2 linked regions of the Diceros bicornis minor genome follow. The protein of the gene in region 2 interacts with the protein of the main gene of each other region in a biochemical or structural test. Links are inferred from orthologs where the notes say so. Each region holds a gene or a part of one and is shown on either strand. Other genes may lie near its edges.

The links.
Region 1: the proteins of NOTCH1 (region 2) and MAML1 form a complex in vitro, tested with the Homo sapiens proteins (2 studies listed by BioGRID). The link is inferred for Diceros bicornis minor from reciprocal best matches to the Homo sapiens genes NOTCH1 and MAML1.

The regions. Positions count from the first base shown.
Region 1 is NC_080740.1:92,684,330-92,694,393, forward strand, and holds the start of MAML1 (mastermind-like protein 1), read left to right. Parts: upstream 1-5,300; 5' UTR 5,301-6,093; coding exon 6,094-6,402; intron 6,403-10,064. Other genes in the region: CANX (calnexin), read left to right, coding at 1,670-1,723. UniProt on the Homo sapiens protein: Acts as a transcriptional coactivator for NOTCH proteins. Has been shown to amplify NOTCH-induced transcription of HES1. Enhances phosphorylation and proteolytic turnover of the NOTCH intracellular domain in the nucleus through interaction with CDK8.
Region 2 is NC_080767.1:42,288,764-42,298,360, forward strand, and holds the start of NOTCH1 (neurogenic locus notch homolog protein 1), read left to right. Parts: upstream 1-5,038; 5' UTR 5,039-5,260; coding exon 5,261-5,321; intron 5,322-7,037; coding exon 7,038-7,119; intron 7,120-9,597. UniProt on the Homo sapiens protein: Functions as a receptor for membrane-bound ligands Jagged-1 (JAG1), Jagged-2 (JAG2) and Delta-1 (DLL1) to regulate cell-fate determination.

The DNA of each region.
Region 1 (10,064 bases), on a different chromosome or scaffold from region 2:
TAGGACGAGAAAAGGTATTGAAAGTGCTGGAGGTGGGGTGGGTTGCAATGTTAAAGATGGTAGGCCTCGGGGCCGGCCCCGTGGCTCAGTGGTTAAGTTCGGTGCACTCCACTTTGGTGGCCCAGGTTCGGTTTCTGGGCACGGACCTACACTACTCCAGCGACCCACATACAAAATAGAGGAAGATAGCCACAGATGTTAGCTCAGGGGGAATCTTCCTCAGCAAAAAGGAAAAAAAAAGATGGTAGGCCTCACTGAGTAGGTGACATTTGAGCAAAGACTTGAAAGAGATAAAGGTAGAGATGCCTATGGGAAGAGCATTCCTGGCAGAGAAAACAGCCAGTCCAGGGGCCTAAAGTGGTAGTCTAGAGGGCCAGTGTGGCGGCTGGCCCGGTGGCGCAGTGGTTAAGTGTGCGCTCCGCTGAGGCAGCCCGAGAGTTCGCAGGTTTGGATCCCCGGCGCGCACCGACACACTGCTTGTCAAGCCGTGCTGTGGCAGGCGTCCCATCTAAAGTAGAGGAAGATGGGCACGGATGTTAGCCCAGGGCCAATCTGTCTCAGCAAAAAGAGGAGGATTGGCATCGGATGTTACCTCAGGGCTGATCTTCCTCACACACACACACACACACACACAAACACACAAGATAGAGGGCCAGTGTGGCAGTAGAGCAAGAGGGTGGAGAAAAGGAGGGTGAGGAAGGCTCCAGATTAGGTGGGGCCTCCTGGGCTGTTATGGGCTTGGCTTTCCCTCTTAGTGAAGTCGGCAGCCCTTGCAGTGGTTGCACAGGAGTGGCTGGGTCTGATTACTCTGGCTGCTGTGTTTTCTATAGACCAGAGAGAATGAAGGAGACGAGCTAGGAGACTGCTATAATAATCCATGGTGGCCCTGAGCAGGGTGATAGGAGAGGAGGGTGTGAGAAGTCATTTTGGACTTCTGGATCTGGGGTTTCTGGTGGATTGGATATGAGGTATGAGAGAAAGAATAGTCTGCACCTTTCTCACCAACGTCCCTTTTTCAAGCACTTCTCTATTTCATTCTGTTCCTTCCTGGAAAACTACCCAGTTTGCATTTCCAGCTACCACAACTCTGCCCTCCTATTGATGAAAGTCAATGCTGTTTATATTTTCAATGGATATATTTTGTCTTAACCAGAACGCAGAGTTCTTTCAGGTAGGGGCCAGTCTCACATACTTTTTTATATTCCCCAAAATTGCTTGCACAATAAGAAGTCGATATGTAGAGTAGAAAGAGCACTGGGCTTGTGGTCTTGAGTGTTCTATGGGATTCGGCTTAGTCTTCAGTCCCCATGAATCCTAGCTTTCTCAGCCTCAAAATGGGGGTGATGTGCCCACAGGCCAGTAGATTATTCAGGATTAAGGAGGATATGTGAAAGCATGGTGTCTGGTCGTTTTTAAAGAAAATGTTTATGGGTTAGATTGAGAAAAGTGCATGTTTATGGAAAACAAAAAAGACTAAATTAGAACACACATAATCCCACTACCTCTGAGACAATCATTGGTTTTGGTGCATTTTCTTCTAATCATTTTTCTTCTCGTTTTCTTCCTCAGATGGCTTACCCTCAGCCTGGCTGATCTTGACAAGTTGGTGAACTTTTACTTTTTTTTAACATGCTAATTATAGTGAATTTCTTGTTTTTTCAACCAACAGGAGGATGAAATTTTGAACAGATCACCAAGAAACAGAAAGCCACGAAGAGAGTGAAACAATCTTAAGAACTTGATCTGTGATTTCCTCTCCCCCTCCCCAGCCCCCCGCAAGTGTGGTCCCAGGAGAGGACCTGGCACACCTTAGGTTGAAATTCAGAAATCCTCTAGACGTCAACCATCAACAGGTTCCAGTTGAACACTAGCCCCTGTAATTTTAAACATCTAGCAGTAAATAATTGCAGTTGTGACATAAAGGACCCTGTTTTTGTAGAAAGAAAGCATCTAACATAATGGTTGTGAAATGTAACATGAGGCAACTAACATGTATTTTTTTGTTTTTAAACATCTTTGTTTTTAAGATAGAGTGATAGAACTTTGCCAGTGTTTAAAATCTTGGCTTAATTTAATATATTAATTTGTCCTTGCAGAAATAACACCACCTTTAGAAATGCTAGGGAGATGAAATTGCAGTTTTTATAACTGGTTTTGTTTTTTTAAGTTTGGTATTACAAAACATTCAAGTGTCTCTGTCCCTTAAAATCGATAATCATGTTTAAAGTGCCATCACTTGCGGTTATAATCTTGTTTTGCTTGCTTCCGTTACTCAATTCCTCCTAAAGAAATTGAGGAGAGGGATTGGATGGAAGCCCAAATTTATATAGAAGTTCTGTTTAAGTTGTATTAAAAATAGATATACAAAGAGAAAAAATCTTTTCACTTGATGTTGGTTAGACCATAAAGTGTGTGTGTTCTGTTGCCCTTGGAACCGCTGAGTTCCCAGACGGCTTTGCAATTAGAGGAGGAGGTGGCATAATGTGGCACTTGGGCATTCATACTTCACACCCCGGGCGTGTCTGGGCTCCAGCCTTCTCGAGCAGGTGGCTCTATAAGGAACGCTACTGGGGCCTGTGAGCCCCAGAGATGCAGATGTTTCATTGCTTCTTCCACTGTGTTGACACTGTTTTCCTTCCCTATTTCCTCAAGTTTCCAGCTTTCTCCTCTGCTATGCGTTTTCTTCACAGCGCAGCTTGCAGTCCATTGCTGAAAATGATTATAAGCTCTGCATAGTATTAAGCTTTATTGTGATTGTGTGTATATTTCTTCTTTTTTAAGCAGACCCACACCTTTTCAGGGTCAAAGTACAGGATAAAATACTATCTTTCATTTGTATCCATTTCTTTTACTCTGTGTAAAGACTTTAGAAGTCTAATCCAGAGGCGAGCCAATTCAGAATTGACTAATTGAACCCAGGCTAAAAGTATTTATGGGAGGAGTGACATATAGCATGAGTTATCTGATTTTTGTAGCTGCTAAGCCTTTTAAGTCTTCATTTGCAGTTCATGTAGCACTTGCATCTAAAATTACATGATAAAGCAGTCCTGTTCAAAAAGAAACTTTTTTTTTATCTGCTTTGTAGAATTTTTAAAAAGTGATCTTAGGTTTGTTTTTTCATGTGGAATGCAGATGGGTGCTATCAGAGCCTCTCCCCCATCGCTCTAGTGTAATATCATTATTACACCACACTGAAATGTATTCAGAATTAGATGTTGTTTTAGCTTTATTCTTTCTTTAGAAGTGTTTCAAATGTACCGATCATACTGTTCCTTGCACTGAATATATAAACACTCCAGAGTGTTTATATTGGGGAGATATTGGGGAGGAAGTATATTCATAAAACATGAAGGCTGTATCTGTTTATTTTGTTTATCTTCAGTTTTTTACTGGTTCACTTAAATTCTTATGAGGGTGGGATGCATTTTTCTTGCTGTTCAGTGCTTTCTCCTTTTCATCTGTTCTGTGGTCACAGTGACCTTAGCTATGTAGCACACTTTCCCAAATGTATTGAGTGCAAATAAACAGTTACTTAGCAAGACCTGAAAATATGTCTGCAGGTTTCTCCTTGAAGCAAATGTGTGGGATCATTGCATTTCCAGAAATCTGCCGTCTTCACTCTTTGTTGCCATTATTTCATGCCTCACTTACAGTTTCTTCCAGCTGAGCTATGGAATGACAAATGTAAATCAGTAGAGTGTTCATTTGCCTTTCCAGGGTGGTTTAGCAAAGTTTGTCCAAAAAAAAAAAAAAAACTTGGTTCTCTTTTTTGCTCTCTTTGTTGAAGGTGCAGCTTTCTCATTAAATGTTTTACACATTAGTGAATGACCAGCAGCAATTTTCAGCTCTTTAATAGGTACTTACATTATGATTTTACATGCTGGTTATCTGTCCCATTGTTGTAAAACGCCCACTCTATCAGATGTGTTCCTCAGTTACTCTTATCCACAAAATACTCTTCTCTTTTCTCAAATTGTCATGTTACTAAATGGTGTTACATTAAAGCCCTGCGTTAAGCGTCTGCTTTTGACTGAACTTCTTCATGGTAACCTTCAATTAGCTTGTTTTACTGTTTCAAAAGTGGGTTAATGTTCCTACTAGTTGAGAGTTTGCTAATATGCAGAAACTACAGCCCTCCCTTGGTATCTGCAGGGTTTGGTTCCAGGCCCCTCCCCAATACCAAAATCCGTGGATGCTCAAGTCAGTATCCCTGGATGCAGAACTCGAGCTTAAGGAGGGCCAACAGTATTATCAGCAGTGGAATAATTACTACATCTCAGCACATGCATTTGATCCAATCAGTTCAGTATAGGTTTGCCTCCTTTTCCTGCTCAATTAGGGTTCAATAGTTTCTGTTTTTTAAGAGGGTAGCAGCTCAGAAAGGGAGTTTGTAAATAATATTCTTTAAGATTTTTGGGAACCATTGAACTTTTAAATTTTTATTTGAAAATCTTTGTTCAGAATCAGAGTCCGTCTTTTACATGTTCTTACATATTTCAGGGATGTTTTTGAGAGTTAGGCCAAAACTAATTTTTTTCTGCGTTACTAGGCTTTTGGATTGCCTACTGAAGAGAAATATACAAAATATAGTGCTCCTAGTTACTATTTTGTTTCCTATTGGAAAAGAAATTATTTAATGCTGGTGTCAAATTTGTATGTTTGAAGACTGGTAAAAAGCAGGACCACATAGCATTCACGAACTCGAGGCAAATTTTGCCTTGGTGCGCCGCTTGTATTTTTTTACTGCATTTGTGTAAAGACACTATTTGAATAAGAACTCATTTTTTTCTTCTGATTTTAAAATAAACATTTTCGTGGGTCCTAGTAAAAACTGTAACAAATGTGAGAGCTGTTGATGGTGCCTCTCATGTGCATCCTCCTGACACCTTGTGTTTTAACTTTTTAGCAATTAGGGTGCCAATACCTACCTGTTCCTAGTATCTCTTGGGCCAACGCAGACTATCTAGTTTTAGTACTACCTCTTTCTTTGCTCCTGTTTTTTCCCTTACAGTGTCCTACTCCCTTTGCCTACTAGTTATAAATACTAGAGGTTAATTGTCTTTGGTTGGATTTTGTTGAGTGACTCAATTTTACCTAACAGATCGGTCATCTTTTACATGTAAAGCTTGCAGTCCAGGCTTCCCGTTTTTGACTGGCGCATCATCCTTTGCAGTTCTAGTCCTCACTAATGGAGCTAGGCTTTCCACACCCTCCTCCCTCACGTCTGCTGGGGCTTTTTTTTTTTTTTTTAAAGTAATTCTAAATTTTTGAAACTTGTTCAAACTTTTATGTAAATGGAAATAGTCCCAGTGATTCAGAATGGTGCAAGAGGAAAGGTCTTCCAGTTCACTTATTCTGACCCATTACGAGGCTGGGTGTAAGGAATGAGGTCGAAGAAAAGCAGCTGACATTGAAGAGCGTGGCTACTTTTGAGCTTAGCAAAGCCGAATTCAAGAGGCTGCCGAAGAAAATGGTGAAGCGCTGTGCTTTCAGGCGGGCGTCTGCGTCCAGCCGGTTCCACCGCGCCGACTGTCCGGCTTTCCTTGGACCCGGAAGGGCCTGCCCGCGGGGGCGGCGTTTAGGACCTGCTCGGGTCGGTCATCCTCGGCCCGACGCCCAGAATTGAGGCCCGCCCAGGGCTTCCCTCCGCCCCTCTCTTGAGGGTTCCTTTTAAACTGCGCTCGGGAGCCCCCGCGCCTCTTGCGTGCTCGGCGCCGTCCCTCGGCGGCCCGCTTTTCTCCTCTGATTGGCCGCAGTCCCTGCTCGTCAGCCGTGACGCAAGGATCGCCGCCGGGCCCCGCCCTCTTCCGAGAGCCCCGAAAACAATTTTAAGATGGCGGCGGCGGCGGCGCGGAAAACAATGGGGCCGGGGCGGCGGGGACAGGCCGCGGCCTGAGGTAGGCAGCGAGCGCCGGCCCGGGTAGGGCCGAGCGGGGCCGCAGGAAGACCCGCTACCGCGCGCTATCCCGCTCCGCAGCCCGCGGGGCCATGGCGCGGCCGTGAGGCGGCCGGGCCGCCGGCGGGAGCGGAGCCCGCAGTGCCAGCCGGCCCCGAGAGGCCCGCCCCGGGCCCGGCCCGAGCAGCCCGCGGCCCATGGTGCTGCCCACCTGCCCCATGGCGGAGTTCGCGCTGCCGCGGCACAGCGCGGTCATGGAGCGCCTCCGCCGGCGCATCGAGCTGTGCCGGCGCCACCACAGCACCTGCGAGGCCCGCTACGAGGCCGTGTCGCCCGAGCGCTTGGAGCTCGAGCGCCAGCACACCTTCGCCCTGCACCAGCGCTGCATCCAGGCCAAGGCCAAGCGCGCCGGCAAGCACCGGCAGCCGCCCGCCCCGGCCCCGGCGCCCGCCCCGGCCCCGCGCCTCGACGCCGCCGACGGCCCAGAGCACGGCCGCCCCGTCGCGGTGAGTAGGGCGCGCGAGCAGCCCCTTCCCGGCGCTGCCCCGCCGCCGCGAGACTCAGCGCCCGCCGCTCCTGCGCCGGGCTCGGGGGAGCTGCCCGGGCGGGCCGGAGCGGTTGTCATCTGCGGGGAGGGCGCGGTGGGAGGACGGGACGTTGAGGCCTCGGCTGGGAAGGCTGGTGAACGGTAGTGGAAAGGTTTTTCTTCCAGACTTGATTCCGAAATTTTGGGAACTTTACTTTGGAGCAGAGTTGCCTGGATAGTGGCCTCGTTTATTCTGCAAAGGTTTGTTGGGTCCTTGCTCTTTGCAGGGTCGGGGCTTACGTGTGGGAATAAGTCGGCCTTCAGTTGACCACATCAAACTGTTGTGAATAGAAAAATCCAAAAATCTTCAGAAAACTTAGTAAAAGGCATAGTACTGCTCGTTAAATTGTATAGGAGTATTACTTGTTTAGGCAACCCTGAAATTTGTGAACTTGTGATTCCAACGATATTGTTGATAATTCCAGTTTTAATCTATAAAGCTGTTTAAAATCTCTGATGGTATTAGAGAGTTTGTTGGTAAATTATTAAGCCCTTTGGGTTCCCAGTAGATATTCGGGAGATTTGTTGGTTAGAGGTTTTCCTCCCTGAAACTGACTTATAAAAGGGAGACCGTAAAGTTTTTTTTGTCGTTGTTTTCTTGGTAATTACATTTTAAAGCGAATGTTACCAGTCTAATTTCTTCTGTGCATTTCTAATTCATGCCTTTCTTCCTTCTCACCTGGGCTGTCGCGGAACACTTTCCTAAGTAGTCCCTAGGCGCTCAGTCTCTTTCTTTTTCCTCTCTCGGTGCTATGTCGCCCACGGGTCCTGTGCTGTGGTTGAATTTTCCTTATTCTCTCCCACACTGGCCTGGGCTGCTGGACATTTCATTGCTTATTGTATCAACTAGTCAAGTCGTCTTGTTCTCACTTTTCTCGTCTGTAAACTGAGGATGTGTTTGGCTTCTTATCCACAAGGATTCTTACAAGAAATGAATGTGGATGTGAAAATATTTCATAAACAGAAAGGCTGCCTGCAGGACCTTCCTCCCCACCTTTCTGAATCCTGCCATTCTTAGGTTCAGCTCATCGTCCTCTCTAAAGCAAGCGTCTGACCACCCTAGCCCACAGCAATCAGAATCTCCTTTGTCAAATATTTAGGAAATATATTGTCTGTGCTATTTATTTTTAGCACATAGTCACATACTAGTTTAGGTCATGTCTTGCCAACTAGACTGTAAACCCTGGGAGACAGGGAGGGGTTCTGCTCAGAGTCCCATACACATCTCAGGGCCTCAGCACGCGTTTGTTGAGTGATTGATATTAAGCTTGGTAGTACTTTTCCTCAGTCATGGGTCCTCCTATGAGCTAACCTCATGAGCCGCCTTTACTAACAACTCTTGTTTCAAGGGAAGACTTTAAGAGTAGTGGCTGGGGGCGGGCCCCGTGGCTTAGCAGTTAATTGCGCGCGCTCCGCCACTCTCGGGTTCGGATCCCGGGCGAGCACCAACACACTGCTTGTCCACCCATGCTGAGGCGGCATCCCACGTACAGCAACTAGAAGGATGTGCAACTATGACATACAACTATCTACTGGGGCCTTGGGGAGAAAAAGGGAAAAAAAGGAGGAGGATTGGCAATAGATGTTAGCTCAGGGCAGGTCTTTCTCAGCAAAAAGAGGAGGACTGGCATGGATGTTAGCTCAGGGCTGAGCTTCCTCACAAAAAAAAAAAAGAGCAGTGGGTGGTCATTCCAATTTAAGTAAGTAATGAAAGCTCATAAAAATCTTAGTTTTACACACAGCTAGCTGCCTTGAACATCCCCTAGAAAGTATATTAGTAGTGATTGAATTTGTTTAAAGAGAGTAGGAGTTTAGAACCCTCTATGGTATTTTCAGTCCTGAATTAACTGGAGAGAAATTTGACATGCTGTTTGAAGGGAAATTCATTCTGAGTGTGTTAGAACTTGAGTCTGGCTTGTCAGTCATTCCTTTGGGTGTGAGAGCCTGATCAGATGTGCCATGTTATGTTGATGTCTTATCACATTAAACCTTGACCCGTGGATTTCATGAGTTTAAACTTTAGAGTGGAGGTGCTCTTCTGCCTCCCTACTGGGAAGAGGGACCCTTCACTTCAGTCTCCAAGTGATTCGAGCTGAGCTCTTTGGCCTTGGAATGGAGTCTTAGGAACAGAAGATCAGTGTCACTAAGAAAACAGTGGCATTTTCCGTTTTAGTGGCTCCTTCAGTTCAGAGAGAGAGTCCTTGCCTGGGTAGGATTTCTGCTTAGGGAGAGAGCAGAGCTGTGCACAGAGAGATGGAGGAGAGAAGGTGCCTCTTAGTCATTGTTATTTTTGAAAATTTTATATATATATTTCAACTAATTAATATTCCTTATGTAAGGAATACTATTAGTTATTTTTTTCCAAATGTGCTGTAGTACCATTAGGCAGTCGTTTCATAGCCAGAGTTACCATCAGCAAACCATTTGTACAACTGAAGAAGGATCAAATTTACTAATAGAGTTCACCTTCAGGTTATTTTTTCCCTTCTTACGATGTCCTACCACACAGAGTTGTTTTAACCACTGTCTGCTTACTCTGTTGAAGATGAATCAGAAACAGTGCTTCAGACTTTTTTCCTATTCTAGTCGTCAAGGAATGACCTTATTAGGTTTTCTTTGTACTGTGTGCTCTTTAAAAACCAAATGGTAGTTTTCTGATGACAGTTAGGATTGACTTCTTTTTATTAGGAATGCTAGATTATGGAGAATTACCCACTCACTTTATACAGACTGTAATGAAAATAGTCTGTAATGAAAATAGTCTTTTACAATAGCTTGAACATGTTCTTTTAGTAAAATGCTGTAAAGGTTTATGCACATCCCTTTATCCGCCACTGTTACACTTTTGCTGCTTACTCCTTAAGTAGTTGTGATAGTTGACAAAGAAATTTGACAGTTGCATGCCAAGTACTCATGGCATGAAGTTGCCTTCTCTGCTTAGTTAAGGTGTGCAAAATTTCTCTTTCTCTCTTTTTAACTTTTTATTTGTACGTAATTTAAAACTTGGAGAAAAGGTACACAAATAGTACAAAGGACATCTGCATGCCTTCCACTTAGATTCTACCTATTATCGCCGTTGTGCCCCATTTGCTTTATCATTTGCGCATATGCTCTGTCTCTCCTCTTTACATCTCTCTCTTTCTCTAGAACTTTTGTACTCTGAACCACCTGAGAGGATGCTGCATACTTCATGGCTCTCTACCCCCAGACTCCCCAGTGTGTGCCTTCTAAGAGTTAACAAAGATGTGTAAAATTTTAATAATGATTTTGTAGACTGAAGTTATGTAAAAATTATGTAAATAAGTTATTTCCAGGGAGTAATATTTCTGAACATAAAACAGACATTATACTGTAATCACGTGGGATAGTTTTAGAGAAAAGATGACATGTGGCTTTAGGATCCCGTTTTTTCCTATAACATCTGGGACTTTGTCCTAGCACCCTCTTTCCTTCTTTATCTTCACTGTCCCCTTTCCCACTGGGTCCTTCCCTTCAGCTCGAAAGCACGAGCAGATAGTCTCCTTTCTTTTGTCTTTTCTCACCCTCAAAATAGTATTCCATCTTCTTCCTTCCCTTCTCCCT
Region 2 (9,597 bases):
CCCTCCTCCATGCAGCCCTCTGATTTTGGCAGGGCCGGCCTGCTTCTCAGCAGCCCCTGCAATCACACAGGATGCCCTGGAGTCCCAGGCCTGCCCTTTCCTCCTCCGAGGCTGCCTGTCTCCCTGGTGTGCCCAGAGGAGAGCCACTGAGCCTCAAGGGGCCCAACCCAGGCCCAGCTCAGCCCAGGCTCTGTGGGCAGCTGAGGGGATCTGGCGGCCTGGAGAGGTCCGAGAGGGGCCCCTCCTTCTCAGGGCTTGGGAGACAGTGTCCAGGGCCACCCACCCCTGGGGTCTGTGCTCTGAGCAGCCCAGGGCCTGCTGGGGAGAGGCAGGTGAACTCAGCCCTGAGCTGCCAGGAAAAGACAGGCAGGTGGTCTCTGTAAGAGCCTGCACTGCCCTGGGTGCCCCAAAGCCCATTTCTCAAATGACAAGTACCAGATCGGCCTCAGGGGCCAGTCCTGCAGCCCTCGGAGCCCATACCACCCAAGATAGACAGCTCACCTGCTCCGGGAGGCAGGCTGCCTGTCAGGGGACTTGCCCGGGCAACATGCTCCCCAGCCTCTGTGCCTGCCTCTAGGATGCAGACCCTCCTTCCTGGGCCCCCGGGGGCAGCAGGGGGGCTCACAACCAACTGGTGCCCTGGCCCCAAGCTGCCGAGAGGCCTCAGGGCTCCCAAGTAGTGACTGCTGTGGGTGGCAGGTGGACAGGAACCCCCGCAGGGCGGGGCCCTGTGCAGAGTCCTGCATTCACTGCGCCTGCCGTTAGTCAAGGGTCAGTCTGCATCAGTGGGGGGCACCTGCATCTGGGATCGCACATCCCCCTGGAATGCCAGAGATGGATGCAGGGAGCGGGGAAGCCCAAGGGCTCTGGAATGGCTTTCTGGAGGAGGGAGGGGTCATTTCAGCAGAGGACAAGACGTGCAGAGCAGAGAACTGACCTGATGCAGCCTGCCTGGGGTGCAGGGCACAAGGGGTCTTCCCCGGTAAGGCCTGGTGAAGCTGGCCGGGGGAGATGCCCAGCACCTGCAGGTGACCCCGCCAGCCCGCTCCCAGTGCAGACAGCTGGGTGCACACCTGGGCCTGGGGACAGTGGATCCCTGCGTGGAGGGTGAGGGGCAGGCAGAGAAGCAAACTCTAGACCCCAGTCTACCCCCTCCTTTCTCAGAACGAGGGGGAAGCCCTCCAAGGTGGGCCGGAATCCATCCTTAGGAAAGAGCAGCGAGGAGCTAGTGGGCACCCCCCATGCCCCACATGGAGACACGCTGCTCACAGCCAAGCGTCCAGCACCGGAGCCTGGGGAGCCAGCCCTGGCCTGTCCACCCGCAGCAATGAATGCCACACAGCTGCTAAAACCACGTCCTGGAGAAGTGCGCAAACCTCTAGGAGAAGTTGGTTTTCCATGGAAAAAGGCAGGCAGGACTTTAGAACTCACTTGGTGGAGGGAGAAACTGAGGCCCAGGGGGCAGTGATGGTCTCTCGATGGGCCAGCCGGTCAGAGCTCAGTGGTGGGCCTGGCTGTGGTGGACAAGGGGCAAGATAAGAGGCTGGACACTTCTCAGGCCCCCAGGCCCTCTCTTTGTAAGAAGGTCAGATATGTTTTACAATCAACTTCCAAAGGGGGATGGGCCCTACCCCTTGTGTTCTGGAATCTTCCCACAGCTGCCCCCACCAGCACCGGCACCTCCCACTGAGGTCAGGCCTGTGCACCCATCACAGGCCCCCCACACCCTCAGCTCAGCTTCTAAGCCCTTCCCCCAGACAACCCCCCTGAGGGGTGTTTGGGGCCACTGTAGCCCACACCAAGCAGGCCTGTGCCTGTACCCTAAGTCTGACCTGCTGCCCCCACGTTGTGAACAATACTTGACAGCAGGGAGGGCAGCCCTGTCATGTATGCCCAGCCCTGTCACGTACAGAGACAGCCCACCACACCCTTCCGGGGGGCCCACCTGCCTGCTGAAGACTAGGGCCCCAACCTGGCCTGACTCCAAGCCAGTCTCATTTCAATGTCTCAGAAAAATCGCGAGAATGATGCCACCCCACCCTGGGCTCAGGGGTCACAGGGGTGCACCTGAAGCACCAAGACCGTCACTGCAGGAAGGAAAGTGACCGGTACCCCAGGACCTGGATTCTCAGCCCTGGCTGCACCTGAGGACCCTGGGGAGCCTCAACACGCTGACCACCCCCTGCGCCATGCAGACCACGTCACTGCTGACCCCTTCCCCTCTCAGGAGGGGGCTGGGATGGGTTTTCTTGTGGGGGCAGGAATGGGCCAATGACAGCACGGTCCCCTCAGTCTACCCTGATGCTGGCACCCCGGTATCTCTGGAGGCAGGAGAGAGGGGAGCTGCCCTGACTCGGTCTGCCCGGGGCGCAGACGGAACATGATGGCCTTCTCCCCTTCAGGGCCCAGCAAGCTGGCCCAGGGGAGCTTGAGGTGGCCCCTGGAGAAGAAAGTGGCAGTAAGTCACCCCCTGCAAGTCAGGCCTGCAGCTTCCCCCCACTGGTTCCAGGTTCCCCAGGCAGCTTGGGGCATCTCCACTCAGCAGGGGACTGCCCTGCGAACCTCGTCTGGACCCCCACCCTAAGCCAGGAGAGGAGGCCCAAAATGTCTTCACACTGCTGTGCCCCAATTCCACTTCATGGCGTCCCAGCCCCTGCCCCCCACGGGATTTGTGGGGTGGCCAGGCCACATGCACCTCCTCTTCCTGTCTCTCCTTCACTTCTGCAACTGCTCCCAGGCTGTGCCCCATGGGAGAGGGTCTCCAGGTCCTAGGCCATCAGGACTCCCCTCCCTCCCCTCCCTCAACCTCCCCCCCGCCACCCCGGAAGGTTGATAAAGAAGGACGAGAAGGGGAGGCAGGAAATCTCTGGCCGAATTTGTGAATGAAAAAGCTTCCCAACCACTTGCCATGGTCCAGTCTGCCCCCTTCCCAGAACTGGAGGGGAGGGAGGCCCAGCCCAGGACCGTCCTGGGCCTCACACACAAGCCCTCCCCAGCCCCAGCCACTTCTGGCTTTCCTGGGGTCTCCTCGGCCCCTGTTGCCCAGGGGGTACCCCAGGTGGCCAGGGGCACAGGAGTTGGAGGCCTGTGTGTCTGCTTGCCCCGTCTGTAGCACAGGCTAATAACGAGAGCGCCCGGCTCCTGGGGGGACACCAGAGTAGAGCTGGTACACTGGGCAGACCCAGGTAAGACTGCCCTCCTCCCTCTCCCCCTCCTCTATTGCTGCTCCTTGGCAGAAGGGTGAGAACTTCCTCCAAAGCCAGGGCTGGACGGGCCTTTACGTCTGGCCTGGGGCCTATTGGCAGAGACAGAGGGCTCTAACGGAGGGCACATAGGGAGCCGCTCTCTGAGGAGCGCCCTGCCTAAGGCCTTCGGTCCATCCCTTGAAGTAGAGGGGGATGTGGCTCACAGAGCCAGCATCTGTGAGCTGGCGGAGGGGGGGCAGGGGAGGGACTTTGAAGCACCCCTCTTCCTTCTACGGAAAATCTGCTCCTTCAGGCTGCAGGGCTGCTGTTATATAAACATCTTTGCTGCCTCCAGGCGCCTCCTCTCCCGGGCACTGACCCCGAGAGAAGTTAGCCCAGGCTCTGAGAAGTGCCGCCAGCTTCTGGGACGAGGCAGCGAGGGAGGCTCCCAGGAGCAGCTGCCGCGGCCTGGACTGCCTGTGCTCACAACAGCATCTCAGCTGCCACTAGCGTCCAGCAACAGGTGTGCCAAGAAGGGCGGGCTGGGGTCAGGTGTGCAATCTGCCCACCACGAGGCACCCCACTCTTGCCCGCCTCTCTGGACCTCCATGGCAAGGACTGCTTCTCTGCCCGCCTCTGGGATTTCTGCAGTCCTGTGGGTGCTTGTGCCCCATGCCCTTCACCCAGCTAAGTCCCTTGCAGCCTTTAAGGCTCCCCTCTGGCATCACCTACTCCAGGAAGGCCACCAGGATGCCAGGGCTGGGTGGGTGTACCTTCTGCCATCCCGCTCACCACCCTGTGTTGGGATGGTGGGGGGCTGTCTGTCTCCAGTGCAAGGCCCTGAACTTTGATTTCGTAGGGACTATGGCAGGCGTTTTGGACGTCCAGAGCTTAACCTGGCTTGGCACAGGATGCCCAAATCTGGTACTGCGGCGGAGAAACAAATCACCTGGAAGGAGCACTTGGGGGGGCCCTGGGCAGCACCGGCGCTCGCGGCGGGTCTACCTGACCAGCGCGCGCTTTGCGGGGCACGTTAGGCGGGAGGCGCCAGAAGGGGCACGATAGTGACCAAGGAGCATCTAGAGGCAGGTCCCTCCTGAGGAGCGGGTGCGCAATCCGTCCGGCCAGGTGTTGGCTCCAAGCTGTTCCTTGGGGTACCCAGAGCCCCTTTCCAGAGGCTGCGGCTGCAGCGCCACCATATCTCAGGTCAAGTGCCCGGGACGTCACAGCCAGGGGTGTCTGGCCTCGGTCTCCCGGAGGCTTAAAGCTGCGACCGTGGGGCTCCTGGCAGTGGAGCCCCTGGGCGAGGGGCGCACCCACGGCTGCCGAGGGCGGGGCTGCTTCCAGAGCCCCTCTCCTGAGCCCGGGGTCCCCCCAAACTTGGCCTCGGTCGCTCCTCCCCACCTCCCTGGGCCCAGGTCCCGGTGGCGCACGGCCCCCCACAGGCTCTCCTTTCCCCACTCCGCCCGCGCCTCTTCTGCTATTGAGATGCAAATCTTTGCTATTGTCGCCGGACGCGGCAGCAGCCAGAGCCGGATCCTTCCGCAGTCTCGGACCAAACTTTTGGCCCCTGAAAACTTTCCAACAAGAAGTAGTCCCCAAGGCCGGCCCCCGAAGCCCTCCGCACCGCCGCGGCCCCCAACGCCGGAGGACCCGGGCTCCGGACGCGCGCCCCAGCCCGAAGAGGCGCAGGGCTGGTCGGAGCGTGCGGAGGGGCGCGGCCAGCGAAAGGGCGAGGGGTGCGGAGGGATCGGCGGGGGCGGGGCCCCGGGAGGCGGGGCCGGCGGGGCGGGGGCGGAGCGCACGGCCGCCTGCGCCTCACTAGTGCCTCGGCCGCGGGAGGGAGTGCAGGGGCGTGGGGCGCGGGCGCGAGCGCAGCGAAAGAACGAGTCGGGGCGTGGAGCCGGGCCCGGAGGCCGCGAGAGCACAGCGCCGCCCGCCAGCTAGGAAGGAGAGGGCAGTAGCAGGCAGCTGCCGCCCGTGAGACCGTCCGGCGCGCGCGTGTGTGCGCCCGAGCCTCGCCGGCCCGGCGCAGGAGGCCGCCACCGGGCGCAGCGGGCAGCCGGCGGGCAGGCATGCCGCCACTCCTGGCGCCCCTGCTCTGCCTGGCGCTGCTGCCTGCGCTCGCCGCACGAGGTAGGCGCCCGTGCGCCCGCGAACCCGCAACTTTCCGCGCCTTCGGAAACTTTGGCGGCGCCCTACGCGCGCGCTCCGGGTGGCTGGGAACAGGCGGCCAGGGTGGGGAGGGGGGCCGGGCGCCCCGGAGCGGGGGAAGGGGGTACAGAGTCCCGGGCTGGGAGAGAAGGACTGACCCTCCTCCGCGCCGCCTGCCCTGCCGGGGCGGACTCGCGCTGCCCGCGCCTGGAGCCGGGTTTGAAGCCCGGCGTGGGAGGCTGGGGGCCCCGGAGGCCCAGCCCTGGGCTCGCCCTTCACCAGCCGCTCCTGGGGCTCGCCGCCGGGGCGGGCGGGCGAACTGCCTACTATTTTTCGATTTGAATCGAGTCGGTTTTGGTTTCCTGTTGCTTTGGGGGCCATTTATCTTTTTTCTTCGCCTCTGGCCCGCGCCGGGAGCGGATGTTGGGGCGCGCAGTGTGGGGTCCGGGGCGCTGCGTTCGCGGCCTGGCGTGGTTGCTGAGCAAGGTGGGCAGCGGGGCGCGAGGCGGGCCCGGCCTCCTGCCCGTTCCGAGAGATCGCGCAGGGCTGGTCGAGGGGCGCGAACCCAGGGATCCCTGGGCTCCTAGCCGCCCCGCCCGCCGGTGTCCCCCACACGCCGGATGGCCGCCCCCTATCCTGGCTTGCAGACAGTTTGCGGGGGAGTGCGGGGGTGCGGAAGACTCCGCTGCAACTGGTGGGACTTTCACTTTGTCGAGTTCAAGTTTGGAAATCTTACAGAAGTGGAGAGTGGGACTTGGCAAGGGGGCGCGTATTCCTCTCTCCACTTCCCGTCGAAGGGGGCTGCGAGGAATCTAGTGTGATTAATTTTTCTCTTTCCTTAAAATGTTGGAGGTGAGAATTAGTTTCCCATTTCCAGAAGGTAGGGTTCTATGTCACACCCGGTCCCTGCCCCGGTGAGGGGCTTAATTTACACAGCCCTGGTAAGATGGGGAGGAGGGGCTTGATTAATTGATCCTTTCTTGGGGATGGGGTCGAATTCCTTCCAAATGGGGCGTTTTCATCCCCCTCCCCTGGGTGTGGCAGAGGGCTGCCCCTAAAGATGCCTGCCCGCAGGAGCAGGTATTGGGTGTCTGTGCAGGCAGGGCCAGGTCCCCAGGGTGCAGTCCTGGTGCCCCAGGAGGCGGCCCTGGCATGACAATGGGCTGCTCTGATTCCCCGGCCAGCGCTTTGTTGGCGGGCGGGGCGGCCGGCCTTGCAGCTGTCGCATTTTCCCACGAGCGGGGGAGCTGAGTGTGGCCACCCCCCCCCAGCACTGCCCCCTCGCAGAACGTGTTTGAACAGCAAGACAATCCCGGTGGCTGGATAGGGGCCCCAGCCCAGCCCAGCTCCCCAGTGAAGACGGGGTGGGGGGGCGCGGAGTTTGGGAGAATGGCCCAGGATCATCTCAGCTTTTCTCCACTGCTGTCCAGGGGGCATTTCAGGCCACCTCACCCCATTTTGAGCATGACCCGTCTACCTGCCACCCAGCCAGCCTGTTCCTCCTCTGCAGTCCATTTCTGACTACAGAACTCTGGGCAGAGTATTGAAGCCTTGGGGTTCAGGCCGGGGCTTCCTGGGGCCCCGGGGCCCAAGCAACCCCAGGACAGGGCAGAGCCTGCATGGTGAGGGGTGGGCGGTGCCCTGGGGGTGGGCCCTTCCCGGAGCTGAGGGCTGACCTCTCCTCTCGCCCCTCCCCAGGCCTGCAATGCTCCCACCCCGGCGAGAGCTGCTTGAATGGCGGGAAGTGTGAAGTGCTTGCCAACGGCACTGAAGCCTGCGTGTGAGTACGCCCCTGCGGGGACCTGTTGCTTTTGTCGGGAGCAGAGCCCCTGCCTTCTGTGGCGGCCGGCAGGGACAGAACACTAGGCCATTGTCTTCTGGAGATGGCCCAGAAGGCTGGGCGCAGTCACGTGCTACTTTTATTGGACAAAGTCTGGCAATTACTTAATCACCAGCAATTATGCTGCGTGTGGAGCTGGTCTGGCCACTGGAGGTTTGAGCACTTTTTTGTGGGCCCCCTTGGGCTCCTGGGGGGCTAGGTGAGAATTCCTGGTAACCCATTTCTTCCTAAGTCCCTGAGAAACAACTGAGCTGCCAGGAAGGCTCTGGAGCATTTGTAGAGGAGCCCAGCCCCCACCACCCTGCCAGCTGGGGAGCATCTCTCCATCTCTCTTGGGCAGGTGAGCTTCTCCCCCGGGCAAGTGATGCCTCCTCCGGGCAGGTGAGCATCTCCCCCGGGCAAGTGATGCCTCCTCCGGGCAGGTGAGCATCTTCCCCAGGCAGATGAGCATCTCCCCCTGGCAGGTGATGCCTCCCCCGGGCAGATGAGCATCTCCCCCTGGCAGGTGATGCCTCCTCCGGGCAGGTGAGCATCTTCCCCAGGCAGATGAGCATCTCCCCCTGGCAGGTGATGCCTCCCCCGGGCAGATGAGCATCTCCCCCTGGCAGGTGATGCCTCCTCCGGGCAGGTGAGCATCTCCCCCGGGCAGGTGAGCATCTCCCCCCCCCCCCGGGCAGGTGATGCCTCCTCCAGGCAGGTGAGCCTCTCCTCCGGCAGGTGATGCCTCTTCCAGGCAGGCAATGCTTCTTAGCAAGGAATTAGCTGTTTCAAAGTCAAACCCACCCTTCTCAGCGCTCTGCCTTCCCCAGCTCACTCCCCTCTGGCCTCAGGTGAGGTTGGGGAGAAAAGTTGGAACTCGTCTTGTTGGTGGCGCTGACCTCCCTGGGTTGTGGGGATGGGAGTACCTGCCAGAACTTTGTTTCCCGTCCTGGCATCTGCACCTCCAACTCCCTAACCACCTGGCCCTTCACCCTCCCAGCCTTGGGTCTTCAGCTGTGAAAAGGGGGGTGCGTGCCTGGTTCGCCCTGACTCGGGCAGGGAATCGGTTTAGAATCGCTGCCCACCTGCCCGTGAGTACCAGTCAGCCTCAGGGAAGTTTTTCTGCTGTGCCTGGTGCCCTTCAACTTGAGTTTGTTCCTGATGGGAATAATGAGGAGGTGCTTGGTGGCTGGAGAAAGGTCCCCCCCTCCCCCCGGCCCCGGAGGCTGCAGAGGAAGAAGTGGCTCCCCAGCCGGGTCGGCGCGCCCTCATTCCAACTGCTGAGGGCCCATTCCCTTGACAACCCCCAGCCCAGGCTCATTGCCTGCCCAGCCAGCGGGCAAGCAACCCCCTCCTTCTGCTGCCCCCCACCCCTACCCCACACTGAAGCCAATTAAGCAGGTCTGTGAGCAGTTTAGTGGACAAAGCGGATTGTGTCTTTGTGAAACACTAATGAATGCACACTACTTTTTTTTTTTTTTTTTGCGTTTTTGGGGCCTTTTTCTTCTCCTGCAGAAGCCTCACCGACGCTTGATGCCCTAAATCTTGTTTCCTTTCATTCAGAGACCGACAGCTGGGATTCAGTGGAAGTGCAGTGGCTATTGTTGGGGGAGGCGGATTAATGCTGTCTGATTAATTATGCGTGGCTTCCCAGAATGCATGACTCCCTTCCCCACCCGCCACGGCGCACTCCAGCTCCGACGTTGCCCCTCGCCCCTGGGGGGCAGGTGAGAGTCTCCATGCTTCTGCAGAGGCTGTGGGAGGCAGGAAGGAGAGCTGTGCTGGGGCAAGAGGGAGCAGTCCCTTCTCAGTGCCACCAGGGAGGAAGGACAGCCTGGCCCAGAGGACGCTGGGGTCTCCCTGGGCCAAAGCCCGCACTACATGCCACCTGGGCCAGAAAGGGGATGCCTTGGGGTACAGGCTGTTGCAGGGCCCCCCCGGCCCAGCGTCAGGGTAAGGCCCTTCAGGGGGACAGAGCAATGGTTCAGTGTGCTCTCCCACCCCCAAAACCTGGGCTACTTGAGGGTTCTGCCAGGCCGTGGACCAGGGCTGGGGTGCCGGCCTTGTCTCCTCCCTGGGGCCTGGTGCCCCCTCCTCCTTGGCGGGAAGCCTGCCTCAGTCTGGTCTGGCACTCAGCCGAGCTCGGCCCACAGAGACCCCATTGTGCACACCCCACAGATCCACTTGGAAGATGGAACGGAAGCGCAGTCCTCAGAGGCCCCACCTCTGGGCGGCACCGTGTGGGGGCTGGGGACCAGAGCAGGGACGGGCCCCAGCCAGGCCCGGCTGTGGAGAGGCTCGGGTCCCCACTCGCAGTACAGTTTGGGGGTGTTGTGGCCACTCCGGGTAGCGCCCCGGCTCCCTCTGCTCCTTGGGCCCGTGCTTCCTGCTTGCGCCCACCATTCCCTGGAGGCCCCAGGGGGTCTGCCAGTGTGGGAG